Rattus norvegicus: one gene and its partners. The protein of the gene in region 4 purifies or fractionates together with the protein of the main gene of each other region. This does not show direct contact. Links are inferred from orthologs where the notes say so. Each region holds a gene or a part of one and is shown on either strand. Other genes may lie near its edges.

Evidence for each region.
Region 1: the proteins of Lck (region 4) and Unc119 purify together in Homo sapiens (affinity purification with western blotting; 3 studies listed by BioGRID and IntAct, with this or other methods). This does not show direct contact. The link is inferred for Rattus norvegicus from reciprocal best matches to the Homo sapiens genes LCK and UNC119.
Region 2: the proteins of Lck (region 4) and Sh2d2a purify together in Homo sapiens (co-immunoprecipitation; 3 studies listed by IntAct, with this or other methods). This does not show direct contact. The link is inferred for Rattus norvegicus from reciprocal best matches to the Homo sapiens genes LCK and SH2D2A.
Region 3: the proteins of Lck (region 4) and Khdrbs1 purify together in Homo sapiens (affinity purification with western blotting; 5 studies listed by BioGRID and IntAct, with this or other methods). This does not show direct contact. The link is inferred for Rattus norvegicus from reciprocal best matches to the Homo sapiens genes LCK and KHDRBS1.

The regions. Positions count from the first base shown.
Region 1 is NC_086028.1:63,738,118-63,742,530, forward strand, and holds the end of Unc119 (protein unc-119 homolog A), read left to right. Parts: intron 1-1,383; coding exon 1,384-1,497; intron 1,498-1,960; coding exon 1,961-2,063; intron 2,064-2,238; coding exon 2,239-2,411; intron 2,412-2,672; coding exon 2,673-2,785; 3' UTR 2,786-3,281; downstream 3,282-4,413. UniProt on the Homo sapiens protein: Involved in synaptic functions in photoreceptor cells, the signal transduction in immune cells as a Src family kinase activator, endosome recycling, the uptake of bacteria and endocytosis, protein trafficking in sensory neurons and as lipid-binding chaperone with specificity for a diverse subset of myristoylated proteins.
Region 2 is NC_086020.1:175,612,147-175,617,718, reverse strand, and holds the end of Sh2d2a (SH2 domain-containing protein 2A), read right to left. Parts: intron 5,500-5,572; coding exon 5,410-5,499; intron 5,253-5,409; coding exon 5,084-5,252; intron 2,133-5,083; coding exon 1,974-2,132; intron 1,777-1,973; coding exon 1,435-1,776; 3' UTR 1,034-1,434; downstream 1-1,033. UniProt on the Homo sapiens protein: Could be a T-cell-specific adapter protein involved in the control of T-cell activation. May play a role in the CD4-p56-LCK-dependent signal transduction pathway. Could also play an important role in normal and pathological angiogenesis.
Region 3 is NC_086023.1:147,370,154-147,375,909, reverse strand, and holds the start of Khdrbs1 (KH domain-containing, RNA-binding, signal transduction-associated protein 1), read left to right. Parts: upstream 1-2,461; 5' UTR 2,462-2,539; coding exon 2,540-2,921; intron 2,922-5,756. UniProt on the Homo sapiens protein: Recruited and tyrosine phosphorylated by several receptor systems, for example the T-cell, leptin and insulin receptors. Once phosphorylated, functions as an adapter protein in signal transduction cascades by binding to SH2 and SH3 domain-containing proteins.
Region 4 is NC_086023.1:147,171,738-147,175,813, reverse strand, and holds the end of Lck (proto-oncogene tyrosine-protein kinase LCK), read left to right. Parts: intron 1-2,548; coding exon 2,549-2,751; 3' UTR 2,752-3,172; downstream 3,173-4,076. UniProt on the Homo sapiens protein: Non-receptor tyrosine-protein kinase that plays an essential role in the selection and maturation of developing T-cells in the thymus and in the function of mature T-cells. Plays a key role in T-cell antigen receptor (TCR)-linked signal transduction pathways.

The DNA of each region.
Region 1 (4,413 bases), on a different chromosome or scaffold from region 4:
GCTGGGCCTGCAGTGAGAAAGGCAGCTTTTCCTGGGAGTTGGACGACTAGGATCCTGCTTCCAATTCTGCCCCCTCTTCTCCTTTTGCTCTGCAGCGTCTTTTTATAGCTTTATCTCAGACCTCAGCTCCAAGGTGCTAGAGGCGCTGTCAGGAGGGCTTCCTGGAGGGGGCTCCCCCCCTGGCTTGAGGAGGAGACAGGCCTAAGGAAGAGAAAATGGCTTTATATTCACTTCCTTTTTCAACCACAGAGGAATAGGGGGTGGCCCAGGGGCCTGGAGGGTGACTTCCGGGCCTCTGAAGGTCAGCGGGGAGGATGTGGTACACAGTGGAGGCTGGCAGCACCCAAGCCTCCACAGCCTTCTTCTGTACCTTCCTACTTCTTGCCAGGGCCTCCCCCTAGGACTTGGTGTAAGTTTTATGAAGCAGGAAGACCGGGAGTTCAAGGCCAGCATCTGCCGAGTAGTGAGTTTGAGGTTAGCTAGGCGACATGGAACCCTGGCTTAAAAAAAAAACGGTGACAAAAGAGTGGTAAGGGTTAGACCATGAACTAACTCCCTTAGGCAACGCTTAGCTCTCCTGGCTTCCTTCTGAGCCCAGGACTCTCCTTGCCTCATCCCTGTGGCACCTGCTGTGCCCACCGCATCCTTTCTGTGTTCTTTTCTCTAAACCAGAGAGCACTTTATTCCTGAGGTTGGCTCAGGGCCAGGGCTGGAAAGATGACCTCTAAGGGTTCCCTCTGTTTGCTAAGACTTCCTCCCATCGGGAGATCAGCCGAGGATCTGTGGGGCAGCGCAGGCCCCTTGTGTCCCAGGGCTTCCTTGCCTGAGTACGCAGAGCCCTATAAGCTGCTTAAGAGAGCTGGGTTAGTGTAAGCTGCTTACAGTGGGGGAGGGGCGGGGCGGGGCAGCAGGGAAGGGTACCAGCCTGCCCCGATACAGCCCATGCAAGGGAAAGTTCCCCTCAAATCAGCCTTGCCTGACACCTAGATGTCACGCCCCAGGGTTGTGTGTGGTGAGGGTGGGGCGCACGCCCAGGAAGAACTGTAACTCTCCTCCCCCGAGAGCTGCATGCTCCCTTTGGAGTGAAGTCCCCCTCATGCTGGAAGCTTCCACTAGGCAGGAGGTCCAGTTGTCCGAAGGATGCATGCCAACCTTGCAAAGCCGAGGTTGAAATAAGGATTGCCAAGAGGGTGGGAGGGTCGGTATGGTGGAGGTGACTTGCCTTGCCTCTGAGGCCACTAGGATCGTCCCTGTTCATCCTTGACTATAACAAAATTCTGTCCCCTGCACTGTGGGGGCTTCTCCAAGACAGGGGCCCACCAAAACTGAATCCACAGTGGGTGTTTTGGGGTCCCTGTTTGCTCAGCTGCCTGTCTCCCATAGACTACCTGTGCTCCCCTGAGGAAAATATCTACAAGATTGACTTCGTCAGGTTCAAGATCCGGGACATGGACTCAGGGACTGTTCTTTTTGAAATCAAGAAGCCCCCTGTTTCCGGTGAGTGGGATTGGAGCACCATTGAGAGGAAAAGGTGGGCAAGCACAGTGGAGCGGGCTGTCTAGGTTCTTTGAGCCACAGAGCACAGTCCAGACTTGAACTTCAGCACACTCAGGTGTCTGTGGGCAGACAGGCCTCTTCTTTTTTCTGCCACTGTTTCTCAGGGTGGACATATTGGGAGCATTGCCCTGTTTAAGTACTGGTCAGCCTGTCCTCTGCTGGCCTCCCTAGGAACTGCAGCCCCTAAGTCCTCCCATAATCCTATGCACACCCTATGGCTCTGGGAACCCCTGAACACTGGTGACTTGTTGATCTAGAACCCTGTAGGTACCACTCTTCAACAAAAGTGTACCAGAATCTCCTGAAGAGTTTAGAAACGTTTGAACAGAGGTCCTTGGGGGAGGGTGGAGTAGGCAAAGGCCCCAGCCTGAAGCCCACTGAGCCCAGCTGGGGTACATTACAGAACGGTTGCCCATCAACCGGCGGGACCTGGACCCCAATGCAGGGCGCTTTGTTCGATACCAGTTCACACCTGCCTTCCTCCGCCTAAGGCAGGTGGGAGCCACGTGAGTCACTGGGCTGGGGTGAGGGCTGGGGGGCGAGTGTGAGGGTGGGAACAGCCCCCTTCCAGAGCCTCTCGGTGGCAGTCTGCCTGGAGCCTTGGAGCCTGGAGTCCCTTGGCTGGCTGGCTGGATGGTTGGTGTGGAAGCTACTCAGCTTTGCCCGCTTCTCTTAACTCAGGGTGGAGTTCACAGTGGGAGACAAGCCGGTCAACAACTTCCGCATGATTGAGAGGCACTACTTTCGAAACCAGCTCCTCAAAAGCTTCGACTTCCACTTTGGCTTCTGCATTCCCAGCAGCAAGAACACCTGTGAGCACATCTATGACTTCCCGCCTCTCTCCGAGGAGCTAAGTGAGTGGAGATGTGGAGAACCCAGGCTCAGTGTCGGGAGGTGGGGGGTGGTACCTGTGCATCTGGTCCCCGTGCACCTACCCTGCATCACTTTCTTACCTGGCGCCACTCCTGTGTCACCAGGAGGGAAACAGGCTCAAAGAGGCTGAGGAACTCTCTGAAGTGGTTCATCTGTCCCTGCCTCCCTCTCTCCCAGTTCTAAAGTCCCAAAGGGTCTGGCTCAGGGTCCTGACCTTTGCCCTGGGTGGACCTCTCTTGCAGTCAGTGAGATGATTCGTCATCCGTATGAGACACAGTCTGACAGCTTCTACTTCGTGGATGATCGGCTGGTGATGCACAACAAGGCAGACTATTCCTACAGCGGGACCCCCTGACCTCCAACACTGCCCCTGAGGCTCTGGCCTGGACCCTGTGCTGTGACCTCTCCAACACTGTCTCTATTTGGGGATGGTTCCAGTGGCTCTGGACCCTGAGTCAGTCTTGAGAGGAAGGTTCCCCAGCATCCCTAGGCAAGCCTCTGAAGCTTGTGGGAGGGACAGCTCGGGAGACTGTCCCCATGTTCAGGAAGGCCTCCTGCAAGAGGAGGACTTCCGGATGCCTCACTAGGTCCACTGGGCCTGAGTTTCAGAGTAGTGTTCCCTTCTTGACTGTGACTAGATCAGGTTAGGGATCCGTTCCCTGTCCCTTGCCCACCACCTCCAGGGTGTTTATAGTTCACAGACAAAGATCCACATTGGGTACCCTGGTCTCAGTCCTGGCCTCCTCCATCAGGGGCCAAGAAACTGCCCGAGGTGTGAGCGGGGTGGGTCCAGATTGCAACCTGTAGGACCTGGACAAACTGTATATAGTTTTCAATAAACCTTTTCTGTTCTTGGGTGTGGCCAGCCTGTGTGTCTATAGGGAAAGGCAGGGGTGGAGTGGAGTAGGAGGGGTTCGTGTTCGTTGCTTTTTATCATGACAAAAGTACACGAGAAAATCAACTTAGAAGAGGTAAGATTTACTTTCAGTTCAGAGGTTTCAGTCCATGGCTGCCACATGGCCCTGTCACTGGGGACCCTCTGGTGAGGGAGAGCGACATGGTAGGGGAAAAGTGGGCTGGGGCAGAACTGCTCACCTGGGAGCAGAAGCAGAGAGAGAGAGACAGACAGAGTGAGAGAGCACAATATACCAAGAATAAGGTCAGAACAGGATACCCCTTGCAAACATTCGGTCCATCTCCCCCATCTAGGCCCTTACGATCACTCGATATCGCCACTAGCTGGGGACCTAAGCCTTTGAGGGGAGTGTTTATATCCAACCACACTGATCAAGAGAATAAGAACCCTCACTTCCCAGTGCCTTCTGGCCAGGGGGTCTTCCCTGGCCTCAGATTCTCAACATCTAAGTGAGTATTTAGGGTGTGGTTCAAGCTAGGATTCCTCCTGTGATGGAGACCCAGGGTCTTTGGTATAAAGGTAATGACTTGACAGCAGACACTGGAGCAAAGACCATCAGCTCAGGATGGGGAAGGAAGAGATACAGGGAGGTGGCTTTGTTTTCCACTTCCTCTGACCCCCAGAGGCCACTCCTAAGTGCCCTCATCAGAGAAGGGCAGGACTTTGGCTAGCCCTAGCGCCATCTCCCTGCACTTAGCTGCCTTGCAGCCCCCTCTAGTCTGGCCAGTCCTGTGCATAATATTTCTGTTAGCCTCTCACCCCTCCCAGGTCCCTCTTTTAGTGGAGGAAATTCAAGAACTGAAGGAGGAGGAGGCTAGCTTAGGGTTAGCAGTCTGATGCTGCAGGTTCTCTTTTCCATATACCAAACCAGCCTAACCCAGGCTGAGCAGCCCCAGAATGCCATAGAGCTCTGGCTGAGGGCCAGGATCTCTACTGAACTTTGGGAATTCTAATGTATGTGTCTGTATCTCCATGTGTAGGCGGGGTGCATGTTTGTAAAGGACAAAGGTCAACACTTTCCAGAGCATCTGATGTTCTCTGGGGTACACATGCAGACTAAACACTCA
Region 2 (5,572 bases), on a different chromosome or scaffold from region 4:
GCTTCATGTCAAGCATTTGGGCCAGTACTTTGGACATAGCTGAGTATCCCCAGGCCTGTGTCCAGGACATCATGCTCAGTAGGAAGGGGAGAGAGAAGAAATAAAGAATAATGGGCCAGTGGCCCGCCGGGGTGTCAGGAAGAGCTGGAGGGCTGCCTCAGAAAGCCCATTTTTGCTTTCTCAGGGAAGAATGGGTCAGAACTGACAAGCCTGGTGCTAGGAGAGCAGTTAAGCCACTCTTAGAGAAATTGGGGTGTGGCTCAGACAATAAAGTGCTTGCCTAGCATGTACCAAGCCCCAGTCTTGATCGCACACGCTGTATGGGCTGCCTGGTGGTACACAGCTGTAATCCCAGAACTCAGGAGGAAGAGGCAAAAGGGTCAGAAGTTCAAGGTCCTCAGCAGCTTCACAGTAAGGTGGGAGCCAGCCTGGGCTGCAAGAGACCTTGCCAGGTGTGTTGAGCACCCCAGCATTCTTTGGGAGGCTGAATCAAGCAGATACCTACAAAGGCTAAGTCACCCTTGTCTATACCACAGTGACTTCTAGGAGACTACGGCTGCACAGTGAGGCCAAGTCTCAAAAATGACAACAACAACCAAAAAAACCCATTGTTCTTAGAAAAGTCTTGATGAGAAGATGGCAGGGACTAGAATGGGTCGGGGGAGAAGGCAGACGTTATTGACCTACAGAGATTGAAGTAAAGAGGATGGAGATGTTTAGGGACCTTACATTTCTGGCTGGATAGCTGGGTGCTGGGAGCTAATCAGTCAGGGTATGGGACACAGGTGGACAGTGTGGTGTGTGTGTGTGTGTGTGTGTGTGTGTGTGTGTGTGTGTGTGTGTGTGTGTAGGGTGGGAGTGAGATTGGCTGAATCAATGTTCGAGTGGCTTTGGAACCCTGGCAAAGCCTGGATGAACCCAGGGTTAAGAGGGCAGGAGCTGGCATGGCACAGGTGAACTGAGCTGGCGAAGGCCCAGCAGGGGTCTTTGGTGGCAGCAGAAAGGAAGGCTGAGGAAGAACCTGAGGCAGGTACAGGGGCAAGAGTCCAACTCATTTAATATTAATACCACATTCAGACATGAAACTATCTGTGGGGGAAACTGTGAGGGCAAGCACACAATGGGTGGCCTCCTCCTCTGAGCCCACTGGTGGCAATGCATGGGCTCCTAAGCGCTCTTCTCCGAGGAACTGGATCAGTGCCACATGTATCTGAGGAAGGCCTGACTGACAAGAGGCAGCCTGGGATGGAGAAAGGTTGAAGGAAACCCATCACCTTTAATGTTCTCAGGAGTAGGGGCAGGTAGAGCTTGACAAAGCTGAGTCCATGTGCATGTCCAGGAACAACCTCAGGCCTGGGGCTGGGCAAAGGTTTTCAGTAGCATGGTCCATTCCATTTTGGTTCAGCCTGCTTCTTCCTTCGCCTTGCCTGCCGTTCAGGAGGGGCTCCCTCTTCCTGCTGGCCTTCTTGAGCTTTTCTTTCCCTGTACCCCCTTTCCCTGGCCTCCTGAGATAGGCCTGGACCAGCACTTATGGAGGGTGGGGTGCCCAATGGGTAGCATTTCCCGTGGGCCATCCACCTCAGCATAGATATTACTAGGAGCATCCCCAGGGCTGCCCCGCCCCATGGCATAGAAGGCTATGGGTTCATCAGGCTCCTGGTAGACGGGGTTAATGGGTAGGGCCTGATGAGGTCGTGGAGCAGGACTTGTGTAGACTTCAAGAGGTAGCTGAGGCTTGGCAGGAATGGGGGGCCTGGGTCTGGATGCCTGGGAAGTCTAGGGAAAAAGGCAAGGCCAGGGAAGAGAATTAATGAGAACTGTGGAGACAGGGTCTAAGCCCAGGCCTATCACAGCCTGAGCCTCTACCCATGAGAGCCTTCCCTTCCTGACCTCTCCCTCCGTCCTGTGTTCCCTCTCCATGCCCTGACACTCCCCCCCCCCCCATCCCCAGGCTGACTTGATCAATACAGTACCTTCTTCTGTTGGGAGGCCCTCACTTTCTCTTTATGTCCTGGGGCCTGGGCATGGGCCTGCCCCTGTTGGATGAACAGGCTGTGCTGGGTGTCTGGGTCCTGTCTTCTGCTTCCAGAGTCTGATTCACCCCTTAGGGAAAGACCGGCAGGCTCAGCTGTCTGCAGGAAAAGAAGGAGGATGCAGGGTTGGGGCGGTTGGCGACAAGCGATCCAGGAAAAGCAATTAGGTCTGAGAGGGTGGGGGAGACAGTGTGTGTGTGTGTGTGTGTGTGTGTGTGTGTGTGTGTGTGTGTGTGTGTGTGTTGTGTGTGTGGTGTGTGTATGTGTGTGTGGCGTGTGTGTGTGTGGTGTGTGTGGTGTGTGTGTGTATGTGTGGTGTGTGTGTGTGTGTGGTATGTGTGTGTGGTGTGTGTGTGTGTGGTGTGTGTGTGTGTGTGGTGTGTGTATGTGTGTGTGGTGTGTGTGTGTGTGTGGTGTGTGTGGTGTGTGTGTATGTGTGGTGTGTGTGTGTGGTGTGTGTGTGTGTGGTGTGTGTGTGTGGTGTGTGTGGTGTGTGTGGTGTGTGTGTGTATGTGTGGTGTGTGTGTGTGTGGTGTGTGTGAGTGTGTGTGTGTATGTGTGGTGTGTGTGTGTGGTGTGTGTGTGGTGTGTGTGTGGTGTGTGTGTGGTGTGTGTGTGTGGTATGTGTGTATGTGTGGTGTGTGTGTGGTGTGTGTGTATGTGTGGTGTGTGTGTGGTGTGTGTGTGTGGTGTGTGTGTGTGGTGTGTGTGTGTGTGTGGTGTGTGTGTGTGTGGTGTGTGTGTATGTGTGGTGTGTGTGTGTGTGGTGTGTGTGTGGTGTGTGTGTGTGGTGTGTGTGTGGTGTGTGTGTGTATGGTGTGTGTGTGTGTGTGTGTGTGTGTGGTGTGTGTGGTGTGTGTATGGTGTGTGTGTGTGTTTGTGTGTGTGTGTGTGCCGGGTTCTCTGTGTGATAGAGGGGGTGGGTGTTGAGGGGGCCTGGGAACTGTGGACGGAAGCAAACTCTGTTCACAGGTGTGTCTAACAATGAACCGTCTGGAATGAGGGCCAAGACTGTCTCATCTGTACTTACAGTTGCATAAAATTGGGAGGCTTTAGGCTTTGGGAGTTTTTGCCTCCGGGAACCAACCTCCATAACTGCTGGCCCTTACTTCTTCAGGCTCAAGAAGCTTAATGTATGAAGATAGAAGCTTCGTGTTTGGGGGCAGAGACCACTCAGGAGAGACAAACCTTCCCTTCTAACTGCTCCGTGGTAGTTATGTTTTTAGCACAGCATTAAGGCTAGCCTCACGCAGGGCTCCACATGCCCTCTGCGTCTGGCTTCCTAGATCCAGATGAGAATTCTTTCTCCTGTGTCTACCCTGTATTTCACCTCTCCTTGAGAAAGCAGTAGACTCACCCTGATGCCCGAACAGCAGGGAAGTCAGCGTCAATACCTCACCCTCCTCCTTCATCAAACCCAACACAAGCTGTCCTCTGTCCCCCGACAATGGGTTACATCTTCTCTGAGCCCACATGCAGCCAGCACCACCGTTCAGGTGCACACACATCCCCACTGGTTCCCACTCTCACCATTCTGCAGTCTCTTTGCCCAGTCTCTCTAGCCCATGCCAGGGCTTCCTGCTCAAGAAGGTTCCAGACCTTCAAGTTTGATTGTGCTGGACCTAGTTCCTGTTCTGACCCTTTTTCCAGACTGGATTCAGTCCTACAGATTCCCATTGCCTTTTCCTGTTTTCTCCTGTGGAGCTGGTGACTGAAATTGTAGCCTGGAGCTAGACAAGCCCCTCCAGCTATTTCTGAGCCCGAAGCTTCCTACTTGACAACTCAAACTACAAATATTTCCACACCTGGTTCAGACAGGCTCCTTCATCTAAACGTCTTCCCAGTTCCTTGTTTGTTCTGCAAAGACCCTGTCAACCCTACACTCTAAACAGCCCACAGGCCCTCTCTTACTCCTTCGACTTCCCCTGTGCTAGCCAGGCCCATCAACTTCTGAAACCCTGACGCAACCGCAGTTTCCATCTCGGGTGGCCTTGTTTGGCCCTAACGCCCCTTCACACCCCATTACCCCACTCCCCACACCCCAGAGAGCGGAGGCTCTCTGAAACATTGTAGTCTTCACCTCCTGCAGCCTTGTTGGACCCTCATGACCTTGTCAGGTGAGGCCCTTGCTTCTAACTCATCGATGTAATTAAATCTTATTCAGAATAAAACCTTAGAGCCTTGTAAGAGCCACAGGGCCCCCTTACGTCTCCCTTCTGACCTCACTTCCAACCTCTCTGTCCATCCATCATCCTGATCCTCACTTCTGCTCACAGTGAGGCTGCTTCCTCACTGCTCAGTCCTCAGACACCTCAGACATCCTCCCCCATCAGGGCCTTTGCCCCTGCTGTCACTTCCACGCCAAGTGCTTTTTCTCCAGCTGTCTGCACAGCTCCCTCTGACACCATTCAGGGCTCTGCTCAGATGTCCCTTAGCTTCTCTGCTGTGTCTGTTGTTCTCCTATCCTGTTGTTCTCCATCTCTGCTTGGCTTTCTTCCTAGCACTCACCCTTCCTGTTATCAACGTGTTCTCTGTGTCACTTACGGCATCTGCCTTATCTTAGAATAGATGCCTTGTGAAGGCCAGGAGATAGATATAAATCGCGACTGTTTATTTCCTCCGTGTTTAACCTATTTCTCTCAATACACAGTGGTCTGAAGCGCCTGCACTTTTTGAAGGTCCCTGACGTCTGTCAAGCTAAGTAGGGTCTATCGTAGCCACTGTCTGTCGTTGCTACTGTAGTAAGGTTTGTGAGCGAGATGCCCATCTGTCTTGGCCACAGGTTTATTGACAGAATCTCTCCCTCTCAGCCCTGCTCTGGAGACTAAGTAAACTTTGCTTAATTTAACTTGACTGCCTCTCTGCCTCTCCGTACCCTGTTCTTTGTGGCTGGTCTGGTCGTGAAAGGACACCTTTCTGGAAGAGGTGTGGGTAAGTCAGTGTGGCCGATCGTGGATTGGGATGAGAAAGACAGAGAGGTCAGTAACCTGGACTTGGTAGGGGTGGCGGCGACGATGACATTCAGTTATGGAATTTGGGTAAAGGCTCACCTGGCGAGCAAGGGGTTGGGTGAGCATCTCCCCGTAGGGGCTGAGGGGGCACTCTGTGTAGTGTTGAAGCAGGTCCTGAAGCTGCGAGTGGGCACTGTCTTCACCCAGCACCACGTGGCGCCCATCCCCTAGCTGAGCAAGGAGGAAGTGACGGCAGCAGGTTCGGCTCCTGGAGAGTTACTTTGAGTCAGACTTGGCATTTCTTCCCCCACCAGGCTGAGGGAAGCATCTTGAGCTCTCTTTGGAGAGAGCGGTCAGCACAGGGGCTTGCCCCTTAGTTAGCACGAAGCCCCGCCTCCAGCTGGTCCATGAGGACCGCCCCTCACCTGTAGGACAGCACGAAGGTCACAGCGCTCTCGCTGAAGCGCACCAGATAGCATCCTAGAGGTTGGGACTGCAGTAGCCTCTCAGCTTCCCTGGAGAGAAGTGTGGAGTCAGTTCTTGACTTGCGACCTCATTTCTGTCTCCTCCCTTAAGAGACCTCTCACC
Region 3 (5,756 bases), about 200 kb from region 4:
AGCTAAACGAATCCAAACTAAAAAGAAACAAACAAACAAAAAAAAAACAAACAAAAACAAAAACAAAAAACCAAAAAAAAAAAAAACCCCACCAACCTTTTAAGTCACTTGACATCTTAAAAACTATGTTAATAGATTTTTTTTAAAGATCTATTTATTTATTTATTATCTATGAGTACACTGTAGCTGTCTTCAGACACACCAGAAGAGGGCATCAGATCCCATTACAGATGGTTGTGAGCCACCATGTGGTTGCTGGGAATTGAACTCAGGTCCTCTGGAAGAGCAGTCGGTGCCCTTAACCACTGAGCCATCTCTCCAGCCCTGTTAATAGATATTTTTTAAAGTTTTGCTTAGATCTTAATTTTTTGTCTGTGCACATGTGTGTATTGTTCCATGGCACACACGCATAGATCAGGGGACAGCTTTTGAGAGTCAGTTTTCTCCTCCCAGCATGTGGTCTTGGAGATTGACTCAGATCATCAGGCCTGACAACAGTCTAAGCAGCTTAGCCATCTTGACGTCTCTGCCTCAGACTGTTCATGGGAGAGATTTGGGCTCCATCTGCATACATCACCCCAGGATGAAGGGAATACCCTGGAGACTGTGAGGTATTAGAGCAGTAGTGTCTGTCTCATGGTGATTTGTGTCCTGTTGTTCCAGCATTCTGAAGATTAAGACTGAATTGCTGTGAGTTGAAAGCTACCCTGGGGTTTCAGAGTGAGTCCTGGGACAGCCAGGACTCTACGGTGAAAATGTTAAGGGAAGAAAACGCGTTTGTCTTTTTGAGAGAGGGCAATAGGATCCGTAGTGAAAGACTAGCATTCATACCAGTAGTAGGAGCTCTGAGAACTAGACAGCCAACATGGTCTAAGACTGGGCCCGTACTCACTGTTTTACAGAATAAACGGAAGGTGGCAACAGAATGCTTCAGTCTAACCCGTGCTAGGACTGTGTGTATGCCAGCGACCTGAGAAGCTTCTTAGTTTGCTTTTGGGGGACAGGGTGTCCCTTCGATATCCTAGGTGGCCTGGAGCTGTGTATGTAGGCCAGACTTGTCTCAAACTTGAGGTAATTCTGTGGCTCTCCCTCCTCAGAACACTATGAAGGATAACCACCTCATTCCCTTAGTAGGGGTAGACGTGAAGGCCACTATGTGCATGTAGAGGTCAAAACTTGGGAGAATTGGTTCTCTCCTATTTTGGGCCAGGGGATAGAACTCAGGTTGATGATAGTTTTTCCCCCAATGAACTAAGTCAATTCAAGACGAATTAAAAAAATAAAAAAGGCATGTTTATTTGGGAATGGGCTCCCAGGCGAGACCACCAGCCTCAGAGTACCGGAATAAATCAGGGGCAGACTATGGCTGGTAAGTTTTCAATAAGAGTGTAGGCAATAAAAATGATGTGTCTACCACAGGCTGGGCTGGGGTCATCAAGGGAGAGGGAGAGATTTGGGTAGCTGGTGACTTCAGATGAGGTGGATTAGGACAGTCAAGAATTCGGGACTGGGTTTTTTGGCGCCTTTTTCTGTTCTGAGGCTTTCTAAGTGGGCGGGGTTGGAGGGAGAGAGAGAGAAAATTGGAATTTACTGGGGGTAGGGGAGCTGGGGACTCCAACCAAACAGGTGACAAACAGTATTGCCAGTTGTTCTGGCCCCAAATGTATCTTTTAATAATTCTCTCACCAAATTTGAACCTGCTCTAATAGAAATCTTGGTGTCTGACTTCCTGGATGCTCTACTTGGGAATGGAGGGAGCCCTTTTTTTCCGTTGTTTGCGTCTCTGACTGACCCCTTCTGAGTTTCAGTTCTGCAATACATAGCATTTAGTCTTCTATTTCCCATTCCTGGCTTCCCTTTCTCACACCCACCCGGGGTCAGCCTCTCCCAGCATCCCCATCTTCCCATCCCGTTCGCGCAGTCTTTCCCTCTCTTTCGGCCTCGCTTTGCTCTAATCCTCGCGTTCCCCTCTCTCCAGAAGCGTTCCTTTCATTTCCTTGCTGGAGAGGCGGCCCCCGAACCACACAGCAGCACCGTTCCCCCGGGACCTCCCCAGGCTCGGCCGTTGAAGGAGGCGTGGCCCACGAATAACAGGTCTCCTGCCGCACACTCCGCGGGCCCGAGCGCAGACAAAGACATTCCACGGCGCCCGCCCCCTCCGCGCACTCCGCCCGAGGGAGGGGGAGGGGAGACACGTGTACCGCTAGCGCCGGGTCACGTGGAAAAGGAAAAGAAACGAACGAAGGCGGCCGGCGTCTGCGCAGGCGCAATAAACTCGGAGCCTGAGTGGGGAGGCTACGTCTTCAGTCGGCGCAGGCGTCGTGGCCCAACTGGGGACTTTGTTCTCCGCGGAGAAACTCAAGGGCGGTGCCGGTAGGCGCCTGCGCACGCGCGCCGCCTCATTTCCGGTGCTCTCTCGCTGGGTCGCTCGGGTCGGCTTCGGTCGCTGTCGCTCCCGTTCTTCCACCCCCGCCAACCGCCGCTCGGGCCTCAGCGCCGTCGCGTCGCTTCCTCGCTCGCTCGCCACACATCATTCCTGATGCAGCGCCGGGACGACCCTGCCGCGCGCCTCACCCGGTCCTCGGGCCGCAGCTGCTCCAAGGACCCGTCAGGTGCCCACCCCTCGGTGCGTCTGACCCCGTCTCGGCCGTCGCCGCTTCCTCACCGGTCCCGGGGAGGCGGAGGTGGGCCCAGAGGAGGCGCTCGGGCCTCGCCCGCTACGCAGCCGCCGCCGCTGCTGCCTCCCTCTAATCCGGGTCCCGACGCGACTGTGGTGGGTTCCGCGCCGACCCCGCTACTGCCCCCGTCAGCCACAGCCGCGGCCAAGATGGAGCCGGAGAATAAGTACCTGCCTGAACTCATGGCTGAGAAGGACTCGCTCGACCCGTCCTTCACTCACGCCATGCAGCTGCTGTCCGTAGGTAAGCGGGTCTTGGCGTACTTTGGGGTCTCCCGGTACCGGCGGTGGGTGGCCGCCGCTTTGTTCTTGCTCCCGCCCCCTCGGAGCCCAGGCATCGAGAGTGCTCATCTCGACCTAGCCTTAGAGATTCTGCACCCTCAGTCCCACCCCGGATCAGGGTATAAGGGGAGGTTTCGGAACCGCGGTCGAGGCCCGAAGAGGACTCGCGATCTCCGAGCGCGGAGAGGTTGATGGATAGTACCGTGCTCCCGCCCCCTTCTCCTCCGGTAGTAGTTGCCCCGCGCGCCAAGGACCAGCTCTTACCAGAAATGAACCTACTTCTCCCAGCTTTCCCAAAGAGAAAACAATTTGGGGAGGCGGGGTCGCGGGTGGTGGAGAGTGCCTTGACCTGGGTTGTAAAGGTAAAAACTGCCGGAATGCCGGTCCCGCGCGGCGCCTCTACGGAGCGGTGCTGCGGGATTTAGCGGGAACTCGGGTTTAAGTTCATCAGAGGTCGGGGCGACCAGAGAATCCCGGAGCTTGAGGTTTTCTCAAGCAAAGTTTTCCGTTTCGGCCTGTCGAATAAGAATTGCTACAGACCCGGATGGTTTTCTCTCCTTTATTTTAAAATGTGTTTTTGAAGTTATGCAAATGGGGAAATGATGGAGGTAAGGGACGGCAGGTTCTTTTGCGGGAGATGAACGAGAAATTAGTCTTTTTGTTTTAGTTCTTGCTTGAGTAGAGATAGTTTAAGAATGGTAGCCTTTGTTCTCTGCTTGTAGACTAGTGAGCCCTCTTCTCTTGACTTGAGCGACTTAGACATTTTTCTTATTCAAACCGCCTATTGGACCCTCACTTGTAGTTAGACATGGTTTTTAGTAAGTATTTTTTTATGATATCTAAATTTTAGATATCACAGTCTGTCTCACTGATTGAATAGTTGGAGTTTTGTGGGGCAGATGGAACCTTGTTACCAGACAAAAACTGGAGAGGTTGAGCGGATTCAGAAACCCACTCTTGACCTGGTAACTGTCCTGGACCTTGGTAACACTTGACCAAGACACCCCATGGAGAGTCTAACCTCTCAGTCCAAGCCAATAGAAAGCGTCTGCTTTTAGACCCCAACCCACTCCAAAATATATATTCGACCCTATCCACGAGGAATAAAGTTATTTCATCAAAGACCGTCTGAGAGATTGACAGACTCTGGCCAGAATGGTACTGTGGACAGGTCATTGTGAAAATACCATTATCTAATGGAGAGGTGGATCAGCGGTTAATAGCACTTTCTGCTCTTCCACAGGGGTTCAGTTCCCAGCGCCCACATCAGGTGGCTCTCAGACACCTGTAACTTCAGCACTGGGGGACTGATGTTCTCTTTTGTCCTACAGAGGCACTCAAAATACAAATCCGAAAAGAAATAAAAGGAAAATACCATTTTCCTTCATCTGTTCTCTGTCTCCCAGCGTTGTTGAAGGGGCTTTACCGTTTGTACAATGCAAAAAGGTCGTGGATGGACAATGACTTTAAAGACCTGCTTTTCTTTCCAGTCAAATGGAAAAATAAGTGAGGACCTTTGAAGCACAGTAAACCAAACTTGTGGTCAGTAAATAGAAACATCAATTGTTTGCATTTCAGCTCAGGACCTTCATTCTGTAACACGCAGGTTCTTATGTTTTTGTTCTTTTGTTCTGACAACTTAGTTACTGTAAGGATTTTTAACCCCCCCCCCTTTTTTTTTTAAATGAGGCAGGTCTCAAGTAGCTGAGGCTGGGTATTTACATATATCTACATTTATATATAGCCCTTTGTGACCTGGAACTTGTGGTCCTTTTCCTCCAGGGTTTGGGAGGTGTGCCCCACCACATTCAGTTTGTGCAGTGCCTAGGATCAGGCTTAGTACTCTACTAACTTATCTACATTTTCAGGCCATTATCTTTTATATTTTTTTATACCGGCTTGCAAATAGCAAACACCTGTGTTTGATTGACTTTGATAAGTGCCTGCCGACTGAAGAATATCACTATGAAAGGTTGACTTGGTAGTCTTATTTTTATTTCCTCAAATCTTTATAACCTGTCAGGTTAATTGCTAAAGAGTTATATCAGGTCGAAGATGTTAACTTTGGAAACTGACTGTTAACTAGTTACTTGGTCCTGAGAAACTAACTCTGCAGTGTCATCTGTGCAGTGGTGAGTGTGAGATCTAGGTTGTGTGTAAAATCAGCCAGTTACCTCTGACCTGTACTCACCAAACAAAATGTCACCATCGTTTTCTTCTGCTTATAAATTCCTATATACACAGGGCATAGTTTGGCCTTTCTGACTTCAAGTGCAGGTGATCATTCTTTTTTCAACAGGGTTTTTTTTTTTTTAAATTTTTTTTTTTTTTTTTTTTTGGTTCTTTTTTTCGGAGCTGGGGACCGAACCCAGGGCCTTGCGCTTCCTAGGTAAGCGCTCTACCACTGAGCTAAATCCCCAGCCCCTTAAATATTGTTTTTAAATGTTTCTTTTAGCTCTGCAGTCACAGGTTTAACTTCAGTGTGGTTACTAAGAGAAAACACTTTAATTTTTAAAGTTGGGTCTTTTTTGCTTTTGCCTTATTTATATTTTTAAATTTTTCTTTATTAATTTCTATGTGCATGGGTATTTTGCCTGTATGTCTGACTGTGAGGTTTTCAGATCCCCTGGGTGTGGAGTTAATAGACCACTGTGAGCTACCATCTGGGTGCTGGGAATTGAACCCAGGTCCTTTGGAAGAACAGCCAGTGCTCTTAACTGCTGAGCCATCTTCCAGGCCCCAGTTTTTATTTTTGTTGTTTTTTATTGTTTTGGTTTTTTGTTTGTTTTTGAGCTAG
Region 4 (4,076 bases):
AGGTAGAAGAAGAGAACCCACGTTTCAATCAATCATTCATTCATTCATTCATTCATTCACTCACTCACACATGCACTTATTTATTTATATTTTTTGGAGACAGGGTTTCTCTGCATAGACCTCGGCTGTCTTGGAAGTCACTTTGTAGACCAGGGGATCTGGTTTCCCCTGCTTCCACCTCCTGAGTGTTGGGATTAAAGGCACCGTGGCCTGGCTGAGATCCCACACTTAAAAGTTTTTATCTGAGGGGTTTGGGGGAGACTGGAGAGATGGCTCGGGAGCTAAGAGCACTGGCTGCTCTTCCAGAGGACCTAGGTTCAGGTCTCAGCACCCATAGAACAGATTACAGCCGTCTGTAATTCCAGTTCCAAGGAATTCAGTGCCCTCTTCTGGCCTCCTTGGGCACTGCACAGGTGTGATATGTGTACATGTAAAACACACTCATGTACATAGACATAAAGTTTTAAGCCAAAGATGGCGGCACACACCTTAATCCCAGCACTCGGGAGGCAGAGAGGCAGGTGAATCTGAGTTTAAAGGCAACCTGCTTTACAGAGTTCCAGGACAGCCAGGGATACACAGAGAAACCCTGTTTCAACCCCCCCCACACACCAATAAAATAAAATACTTAAAAAAATCATTTTTAAAAAGTTGTTCTCTGGGGTTGGGGATTTAGCTCAGTGGTAGAGCGCTTGCCTAGCAAGCGCAAGGTCATAGGAAAAAAAAAAGTTGTTCTCTGACCTCCACATATGTGCTTTGGCTCATGTGTAGGCTCCTTCACATCCTACACGAAATTAATAACAATTAAGTAAATGTAATATATTTTATTTATTTTTTTATTCTTTTTTTCGGAGCTGGGGACCGAACCCAGGGCCTTGCGCTTGCTAGGCAAGTGTTCTACCACTGAACTAAATCCCCAACCCATTTATTTTATTTTTTAAGAGGACCTTCTTTTTATTATTATTATTTATTTTGTGTATGTGAGTATACTATAGCTTTCTTCAGACACACAAGAAAGGGCATCAGATCCCATTACAGATGGTTGTGAGCCACCATGTGGTTGCTGGGAATTGAACTCAGGACCTCTGGAAGAGCAGTCAGTGCTCTTAACCGCTGAGCCATCTCTCCAGCCCAAGAATATTTTTTTTTTTTGGTTCTTTTTTTCGGAGCTGGGGACCGAACCCAGGGCCTTGTGCTTCCTAGGCAAGCGCTCTACCACTGAGCTAAATCCCCAACCCCAAGAATATTTTTTTAAAAGAAGTTTGCTGAGCGTGTTGGTACATCCTTTAATCCCAGAATTTGGGAGGCAGAGGCAGGCAAATCTTTTTTTTTTAACTGTTGTTTTTGATTTTTTTTTTTTTTTTCGGAGCTGGGGACTGAACCCAGGGCCTTGCACTTGCTAGGCAAGAGCTCTACCACTGAGCTAAATCCCCAACCCTGTTTTTGATTTCTTGAGACACTGTTTCTCTGTAGAATTCTGGCTGTCTTAGAACTCTGTAGACTAGGCTGGCCTCAAACTCACAAAGATTCTTTACCTCTGAGTGATGGCACTACTCCCATCTTGACCCCCTTTCTTTCTTTCTTTCTTTCTTTCTTTCTTTCTTTCTTTCTTTCTTCCTTCCTTTCTTTCTTAAGACTTACTTATGTATATGAGAACACTGTCTTCAGAAACACCAGAAGAGGGCATCAGATCCCATTACAGATGGTTGTGAGCCACCATGTGGTTGCTGGGATTTGAACTTAGGACCTGTGGAAGAGCAGTCAGTGCTCTTAAAGATTTATTTATTTATTTATTTATTTATTTATTTATTTATTTAATGTATACGAGTACACTGTAGCTGTCTTCAGACACACCAGATCTCATTACAGATGGTTGTGAGCCACCATGTGGTTGCTGGGAATTGAACTCAGGACCTCTGAAAGAGCAGTCAGGGCTCTTAACCACTGAGCAATCTCTCCAGCCCGAGCAGTCAGTGCTCTTAACCACTGAGCCATCTCTCTAGCACCTTGGATCCCATTTCTTAAAGGTTCTACAATCTCCCACTAATGCCGTGAATTGGGGCCAGGCTTACAGCACGTGGGGAGACATTCAACATCCAAGCTGTAGGCTGGGGTTGTAGCTCAATAATGGAGTGCCCATTTAATGTGTGTGAGGTCCTGTGTTCAATTCCAAGTACTATAGAAGTAGATGATAGATAGATAGATAGATAGATAGATAGATAGATAGATAGATAGACAGACAGACAGACAAGCAGATAGACAGACAGACAGAGCAAGCCAGCTGTGGTGGTACATTTCTTTAATCCTAGCATTGGGAGGCTGAGGCAGGGTCTCTATAAGTTTGAGGCCAGCCTGGTCTACAGAGTGAGTTCCAAGATAGCCAGAGCCACACAGAGAAACCCTGTCTCAAAAACAAACAAACAAACAAACAAACAACAACAGAAAAAAAAGAGAGAAAGAAAGAAAGAAAAGAGAAAAATCCAGTTTAGCATTAGCTTTGCTCTTAGGTTTCCAAAGCTTAGAGGCTGAGGTTCCGTCTGCCTTCCAGGAATGACCAACCCTGAAGTCATTCAGAACCTGGAAAAAGGCTACCGAATGGTGCGACCTGACAACTGCCCGGAAGAGCTGTACCACCTCATGATGCTGTGCTGGAAGGAGCGCCCAGAGGACAGGCCCACGTTTGACTACCTTCGGAGCGTTCTGGATGACTTCTTCACAGCCACAGAGGGCCAGTACCAGCCCCAGCCTTGAGGCCTTGCGGTCCCAAGATCCTCCCCTATCCCTCTGGAGTTCTTGTGCCCTATCCATGCGGCCTGTGCACACGTGGACTCCGACTCGGCACGTGAAGCCTGTGCGTGTGCCATACATAGCCGTTTTTGTCTCATACACACATCCGTAGTTATGTGGGTTCTACACATGTGCCTTATACCCATGGAACATGTGAGTCTAAGTCTTAGAGACCACCTAAGGTGTCTCTTTCCATTCCATTTTCTGAAACCACAGAGAGGAGAAGGCTTGTGATTGCTGCATGTGTCTGTCTACCACTGCCTTTCTGGGGGCCTCCAGGAAGGCCCTCCTTGTGGGCTGCCATCCAATCTAATGTCTCTGTGTGCTGTGCCTTGGTGGTACCACACACCAGGAGCTCAATAAAAGTCTGTTCAATTAAGGCTGTACAGTTTTCTACCGCACACTTCATTTCTTTGTGGCAGATAGTGGGGGGGTCGGATGAGAGAGACTGGGGTTGCTGGTGGACCACCTGGCCTAGGTTCTCTTGCTGTGATCGCTACAGGCTGTTTCTCCTGTAATGTAAGTGTGTCTCCACTGAACAAGGGAAGCACCATTACCATGTAAAACATGGTGTGAAGCCCTGGTGGTTGGGAGTCAACCCCCCGGAGACTGGGGAGTCCCTACACATACCATGCACACCACCGGAGTTAAACAAGAATAGTTTATTGAGTGCATACCATAATACTGGATGTCCAGGTCCTCAAGAGGGAAAAACATAATTGTGACACTAGTCTGCTCTCAGAGTAGACTTTTTATAGGAAAAAACCAGGTTCAAAAGTTTAAAGGGGGCTGGAGAGATGGCTCAGCGGTTAAGAGCACCCGACTACTCTTCTCGAGGTCCTGAGTTCAATTCCCAGCAACCACATGGTGGCTCACAACCATCTGTAAAGAGATCCGATGCCCTCTTCTGGTGTGTCTGAAGACAGCTACAGTGTACTTATATATGATAAATGAATAAAAAAATTTAAAAAAAATTTAAAAAAAAAGTTTAAAGGGCAAGGAGAAACAGTTGGTTTCCTAGGCAAAGTCTTATCAGCTAACCTTTAAGCTGATTGGTCCTGAGTAAGGTAAGGGAGGGGGGTCGATGGGTAGGGAACGGGAGGATTTCGGAACATTGAGATAACAGAGCATGAGTTTTATAATCATAACTTTTTAGCTTATTAGTAGCATTCTTTGGTGTCAGCGACAAAAACAAAAACAAAAACAAAACAACAACAACAACGAACCCGGAAGAGATTTCTTTTTTTTTTTTTTTTTTTTTTGGTTCTTTTTTTCGGAGCTGGGGACCG